Stegostoma tigrinum: one gene and its partner. The protein of the gene in region 2 interacts with the protein of the main gene of each other region in a pairwise test. Links are inferred from orthologs where the notes say so. Each region holds a gene or a part of one and is shown on either strand. Other genes may lie near its edges. The genes, in order: aggf1 and mab21l3.

The links.
Region 1: the proteins of mab21l3 (region 2) and aggf1 interact in binary tests that used the Homo sapiens proteins (3 or more experiments, as listed by UniProt). The two-hybrid records come from large-scale screens. The link is inferred for Stegostoma tigrinum from reciprocal best matches to the Homo sapiens genes MAB21L3 and AGGF1.

The regions. Positions count from the first base shown.
Region 1 is NC_081356.1:106,671,330-106,675,259, reverse strand, and holds the start of aggf1 (angiogenic factor with G patch and FHA domains 1), read right to left. Parts: upstream 2,315-3,930; 5' UTR 2,206-2,314; coding exon 2,097-2,205; intron 1-2,096. UniProt on the Homo sapiens protein: Promotes angiogenesis and the proliferation of endothelial cells. Able to bind to endothelial cells and promote cell proliferation, suggesting that it may act in an autocrine fashion.
Region 2 is NC_081365.1:40,417,640-40,421,569, forward strand, and holds the start of mab21l3 (protein mab-21-like 3), read right to left. Parts: upstream 2,838-3,930; 5' UTR 2,625-2,837; intron 1-2,624.

The DNA of each region.
Region 1 (3,930 bases), on a different chromosome or scaffold from region 2:
ATTCCAAGTGCGGTCTAACCAAAGTTTTATAGAGCTGCAACAAGATCTCACGACTCTTAAACTCAATCCCCCTGTTAATGAAAGCCAAAACACCATATGCTTTCTTAACAACCCTGTCCACTTGGGTGGCCATTTTAAGGGATCTATGTATCTGCACACCAAGATCCCTCTGTTCCTCCACGCTGCCAAGAATCCTATCCTTAATCCTGTACTCAGCTTTCAAATTCGACCTTCCAAAATGCATCACCTCGCATTTATCCAGGTTGAACTCCATCTGCCACCTCTCAGCCCATCTCTGCATCCTGTCAATGTCCTGCTGCAGCCTACAACAGCCCTCTACACTGTCAACGACACCTCCGACCTTTGTGTCGTCTGCTTTGTAATGTATATTAACAACCAGGACTTGGGCATTTCAAATTACACAAAGTGACAAAATGTGGAAATGAAACAAACAATAAAGGGCACAGTGACAAACTTCAGAAGGACATGGACAAATTGGCATACGGAATTTAATGCAGAGAGGTGTGAGTAGATTCAATTTAAGAAGAATGAACATAAACCTATGCAAAGAAATAGGACAATTATAAGAGGGTAAACGAATAGATAAACTTGTACAACATTGTTAAATATGGTAGGGAAGTGTTACAGCTTAAGAAATTTTTGGTTTCATTTCTTGAAGCATAATTACAAAAAGAAAGCATTCATACTGTATAAAATTCTGGTAGCTCTAAGCTAAAGCAGTTTGCAAATTCTGTGCACCATCCTTCAGGAAGAATTAAAAGGTTTCAGAAATGATGCTGAAAAGACTTACTAAAATAGCACCGGGAAAAAGAACTTCAATTAAAGTGGAGACATTTGTACAGGGTAGGGTTATTCTCTGCAGAGTATAGGCTAAGAAGGATTTGACAGATATTCAAAAATCGTGAACAATTTTGATAACAGTAAATAAGGAGAGCAATTCCGGGTAAGTGGTGGAAAGCACACAAATTTGAGGGAATTAGTAAAAGAATCAAAGGCAGTAAGAGAAGGCACTGCTATTAAGAGTTTAAAACAGATTTCAATGTAAACATTCAAAAGATACTTGGTTAAGTGTTCAAAAGGTTAAAGAAAAAGGCTGGGCGAATGAGATTAATTAGATAACTTGACCAAAAGACAGTGTAGGCATGATTGGTAAAATGCCCTCCATCTGTTTTTTAATCACTCTATGATAGGAAACAGAAAAATTGATAAAGTTATTCTGTGTGATACATGACAAGTGGATTTTTATCAGAAAATTGCTGAATAAAAGGATCAATACTCTCGGACATGGCATGGATTTAAAATCCTACAATAATTTAAGAAATAATTAGAGCCCACAATAGAAGACAGACGAACCGAGATGTACTGAGAAGCCTCTTCTATCTGCATGTATCTTGCATTGTTATTGTGCAATGAGTACAATGATGGTGACGACAAAACCACTGCATAAGAAAATTAATCAATATTAACAAACTTACACCAAACACATGGTACTTTTGATACAAGTCTAACATAGAAATCTTCGTAATGCGGGAGGCAATCACGTAGATCCCATCAAAAACTGGACTGTTGCAACGAAATCCAGAAATCAAATATAATTGCCTCCATAGCATGTGGCTTTGTTTTTAAAATAGGAGTTAAATTCTCCTGTCTGATATAAAAACGCTTTATCAGATGGATGACTTTGCAAGACCCAGTGAAGGCATTATAATACGAGCTTTGTAAAGGATGAGTGTCATTTTCACATAGAAACTGTTCATTTGGGCTTTGAGATATAGACCATAGAAATTTTCTTTACTGTTAGGTAATAGCCTTGGTTCATCGACAGTGCTAACAAAAGGCACTTGCAAAGAAAATACTGCTCATTTTAGTTTCTGTCTGGGCCTCTAAGCACCTGAATTCATTATAGCTGTAGTCCAAAAATGAACAAATTAGTAAACTCCAGACAAGAGGTGACAGCTACTACTCTTGACATCAAGGCAACATTTAAAAAAGTATCACATCAGAAAACTCTATCAAAATTGGAGATAATGTGATTTATAGGGGACAAAAAAAAAGACTGTTTGTTTTAGTCATACCAAGCACTAATGCTTGTTGTTGTAGGAGATCAGTCATCTCAGCTCCAGAACTTCTCTGCAGGAGTTCCTCAACGCAGCGTCCTAGGCCCAACATCTTCGCCTGCTCCATCAATTACCTTCCCTCCATCAGATCAGAAATGGGAACATTTGATGTGTGCACAATGTTCAGCACCATTCATGACTTGTCAGATATTAAGCACATTCAGCAAGACGTGGACATCATCTAGTCTTAGGCTTGTAACTGCTGAGTAACATCTGTGCCACTGTGTGACTATCTCCAACAAGAAAGAATCTGAACTTTACTCTTTGATGTTTCATAAAATTACCACCACTGGATCCTCACTATTAACATCTTGGGGGCTGCCAATGATCAGAAACTGGACTGGAATCGCCACATAAAAATGTGGCTTTTTGGCCTGGGTGCCTGTTACCATAGGTGTGTGACAAATCTTGGTGCTGAGCCTACTGCTTTTCATCGTTTATTTAAATACTTTGGATGTGAATACAGGAGGTATGGTTAGTAACTTTACAGACGATACCAAATTTGGTGGCATAGCAGATAGTGAAGATTAGCTCAGAGTACAATGGAACCTTGGTCAGATGGACCAATGAGCAGTAGATGGAGCTGAATTAAAATAAATGTGAGGTGTGACAACCTGAAAAGGCTAATCGGGGCAGGATGTATACACTTATTGGTAGGGGCCTGGGGAGTGTTTCTAGGGGTGTAGGTGCATAGTTCCTTGAAAGTGGAATCACAGGCAGGGTGGTAAAGGTGGTGTTTGGTACGTTTGCCTTCCTTGGCCAGTGCACTGAGTATAAAACTTGGGATGTCATGTTTGGTCTGTACATGACATTGGTTAGGCCACTTTTAGAATACTGCATTCAATTCTGGTCTTGCTGCAATTGGAAAGAAATTGTGAAACTTGAAAGGGTTCAGAAAAGATTTACAAGGATATTGCCAGGATTGGTGGATTTTAGCTAAAGGGAGAAGCTGAATAGGCTGTAGCATTTTTCCCTGGAACACTGGAGGCTCACAGGTGACCTTAGAGAAGTTTACAAAATCACAAGGTGCATGGACAGGGTGAATAGCCTTTTCCCAAGGTAGGTAAATCCAAAGCTAAACTGCATAGGTTTAAGGTGGGAGGGAGAAAATTTAAAAGGGTCCTGAGGGGCAACATTTTCATGCAGAAGATGCTGCGTGTTTGGAATGAACTACTAGAGGAAGTGGTGGCGGCTGGTACAATTACAACATTTAAAAAGTATCTGGATCGGAACACGATCAGAGAGGGTTTAGAGGGACATGGGCCAAATGTTGGCAAATGGGACTAGATCAGTTTAGGTTATCTGATCGGCATGAATGAGTTGGACGAAAGTGTCTGTTTCCATTCCATATAACTCTATAAGAACAGGTCAGGTCAGAAGTCATGAATTCCGCAATGGGTAAATCATCTCCTGCCTCCCAATACCATCCACCTTCTACAAGGGACAAATAAGAAGTGTAGTGGAATACTCTCCACTGGCCTGAACAGGTGCAGCTCCAACAACTCCCCGAAGTTTGACACCATCCAGGTCAATGTTGACCACTTGACTGGGATCCCAGCCCACATCTTCAACATTTAATCCCTTCACCGCCACGCATGGCAATGGTGTTCACCATCTATAAGTTGAACTGTAGTAACTCACCAACCTCCTTAACCACCTTTGCCACTAAGGAGGGCAAAGAAAACAGATCTAGGATCAATATCACCTGTAAGCCCCTTTCACATATCATCCTAACTGAAACTATATCACGTGAATCTACGGGGTGAATTTATATTTGCATATGTATTTTATA
Region 2 (3,930 bases):
AAAGTTTGGGTTATTAGTGGCTACTACTAGGGGATACTACTAGGGGAAACTATCAGCAAAAAGCATTGAAGTGTTTGATTAACAATGATTAACCATGATCATATCAAATAGTGGAACAGGCTCAATGGCTGAATGGCCCACTCCTGCTCAAATTTTTCCAAAATTGAAGCCACTGTGAATAGACATGTTTCTACATTTTCAAGGGCATTTTCACTTAACACAAGAGCTCATGAGGAGATAATAAGACAGATGCCAGGCCAAAAAGGTAGATTTCAAGGAGTGATTTGAAATAGGAAAGAGAGACAGATTGTTGGAGAGGTTTAGGCAGGAAAGCGTTACTATCTTTTTAGTCAAAGGCTTGCCACATATTTTGAAAAAATAAAAATTGGGCATCCTCAAGACGTACATATTACAGGAGTACAAACATCTCAATGTTGTGGGACTGGTGAAAACTACAGAGATAGACAACAGTAAGACAATGAAGGGAAATGAAAATAAGAATTGGAATTTTAAATTTTGCGGAGCTGTTGTGTCAAACCTGGCACAGTTGGTAGCACTCTATGACACTTTGTCTCTGAGTCAGAGACTGTGGTTTCAAATAACAGTCCGAGACCTGAGTCCAAAAATCTAGGCTGACATTTCAGTGCATTGCCATCGTTAGATTGAAATATTAGACAAAGGCCCTCTCAATTTCCTGTAATAGGTGATATTGCATTATTTTTGAAGAACAACAGTGTATCCTGGCCAAAAGATATCTCACAAGCAAAGCTACAATGAAAAAAAGATTATCGTGTCATTATCACTGTGCTATATGTAGGATATAGCAGTCTTCATTTTGGCTACCCAGTTTCCTATATGGTAACAATGGCTATGATTCAAATGTCCATCATGGACTGCAAAGCATATTGGAAATTCTGGTAGTTATAACAGGTGCTATGTAGCACAAATGTTTTTATTTGCTTCATCATGACCCATGCAGGCCAATGAACACAGGGAAGACTGGTGAAGAAGACTTGGTGCAAGTTGATATGACTGATCTATTGATCACTGCCTTGTTTGTGTGTGTTAGAAGCTATCCTCTTATTTATTGGACAATTGATTCATTCCTGACAAAGCTTTTATTTTGCCGTCAATATCCTACAGTATTCTGAGGATAAAGACATTGACCATTTTATTATTTCTAGTCACAATTAAAAGCTCTTTGTAAGTAAAATGAAAACAAAAATATAAATCCCATGAAGTTAAAACAGGTTAATAAAAATAGATAAATATTTTAAGCATGAACTATTGTTAATTCATAAGAAGTAGGATTAAATAGAAGTTTAGTCAACCAGCCTAAATAAAGAAATGGAAAACTGTCTTGAAGAATATTAAACATGGGTTCTATAATATTGGCATAAATGCATTAATATGTTCTTCATATAATGCGATATTCACTCCAAAACAATTATATGACACAAATTAGCCTCCAGACTTCCTATTCAGAATTCAACAATTTGATATATTTTACAAAACTTTTTTTTCCACAATTTTTAAATAGTTCTCATAACTGACTTGCCCCCTACTGTCTACATGCTGTAATCTTTCCAGCAATTGGTTTCTTGGTGAACTGCTTGACATATGCATCAACAATTTGTTTTCTTATAGAAATTTTTCACTGGATAAAATATGGCTTTTTGCAACACTGCAGTATTTTTGATACAGGCAATGATTATTCAACCAAACAGAAATGTTAACTTTAATATCTTTAAAAAAAAAACAAATAATGGGTTAAATTATGGGAAATGTGTCTTGAATAATTACAAGGTCTTCGAATTAAGAAATTCTCATTAGTCATCAACCTCTTGCTCATTACTTTGTGCCATTTATACATTGCCAGTCTAACAATATAAGCCACGTATTTTCTTACTTTGGAAACAAGTCATTCTACTGTTTCCTTAATTCAGCCATTTGTAAATTAAAACATATCTTAAACAAAAGCTTAAACTTACAGAAATGTGCACATTTCCTAGATAGATGAACAGCTTATCCAGGAATGCACACTTTTTAAATATTGCACTATATATTCTTATAAATCTTTTTTGCAGTTCCTTTAATTTTTTTCCATGAATTCTCCTGTAACAAGAGAGTGCACACAGATTATTTATTTCTAGGAGTTGAATGAGGATAGATATAACAGCTAATGGCTGTTTTAGGTACTGTTATATTTAAAGTAGGAGCATCAATCAATTTCCATTTATGTAGTGTTGAGGCATTGCGTGGAAATAACTGCTCCTAACCTCATCCACAGAATGCACAAAATCTAAATATCAACTCGTCAATTTTTCTAGCATGGCATAGGATTTAAATTTTTGCCTAAAGAGGCGCCAACAGATTTGAGATGCTTAATGACTAATATTTAGTATTTAAAACGTAATCTTCTTCACCTCATTCAAAAAATACAAAAATACTGTTTGTCTTGTGGCAGAACAGAAAAATGGTATGATCTATTCAAACAGCAAATCATTCACCCTCTTTGACATTTTTGGTTTTAAAGGGTAATAATATCCTAAGGGAAATTCTCTCAATTCAGAGGCAATCCCTATTTAATGCCTGAGCCATATAATTTATGAGTAAACTCTTACCGTTCAGGAGAATTCATTATTAGTAACACTGCCTCACACCCTGAGGAGATTTGATTTTCAAGTCAGCAGAGACCCAGATACACTTCCAGCTGACGCCAACCACTAGTTCTATTAGCAAATGGCTCTTTTGAGTCAGAGAAGAACAGCATCTGTTCCACTCCTGGACATCAAGCAGAAGCTGTCAGTCATCAAATAACTTAGTACTGGTAGGGTGCGCTGTCATTATTCACTTATTTAAGTGTTGGTAGCTTGCTTCAATCTCCATAAACAAGATTAACATTTGCCCTTGTTCTGTAAGTGCAGTTTCTTACTGGCATCATGTTCCATACTAGTTAGATGCAAGTTAGAACCTTCACCCAACCTGAAACGTCACACCTCATTGAACTTTCCACAATATGTTGAATATTAAAAGCTAGCCTACTAGGAGATTGCTCATAAACTGTTTTCTGAAAGTAGTACTTTGAGCTGAAATTACTTCACTGTATTGCCCAAAGCAGAAAAAGGACATTTCTTGTCTTTGGAGTATTGTCAACATCATCTTCAATAAACCCACAAGTGTAAATGTTATGCCATGCAACATCACACTATTATCGAATATTGTATAATAATTGACAGAAGCTTCAGACTGTGAATCTGATCCAAAATGAAATCTTCCAGCTGGTAAGTGGTATAAATCGATTTGCAGTACTATTGACAAATGCTAGTCAATGTCTCTCACACACCTAATAGTATATTGTACATTGAGAGCCAGGGAGGGACAGCTGTGATGTGCAGCACCCTGTCTAGAAATTTGGAACTATGCCCATGCCCTATTTAGTATCACATAGATTAAAAATATTACCCAATGGGCTTTCCTGCTCAATATAAAAGGTTGGAATGACATTCAACCAATGATCCATTCTGTAAACTGGGACATTGTTCACCCAGATAATGTGATTTTTCTAAGCATGACTGTCATTCATTGTTTAAATTCTGAGCAAGAAAATAAGTTTAATAAACAGTTCAATAAGTTTATGTTGTTTTTGAGAAGGCAGTGCTAGCTGTTGTGCAAAACCAGATGGTAAATATTTAGCAGACTATACTTGTGAAGTAAAAAAATAACTTCACAAAAACACTTCTGGGCTAGAGGGGTGGAATGGTTGATGCTTAATGATGTTGTTTATTTGGCACCTCAGCCAACTGACACAATCTATATTGACATTTATTCTAGCAACTAATATAAATCATGCCATTAATGGATAATTGATGTTTGAAAAGTATTAGATGTTTATTTTCCTCTTTGGATATATGAGTCATTGAGTTGTGC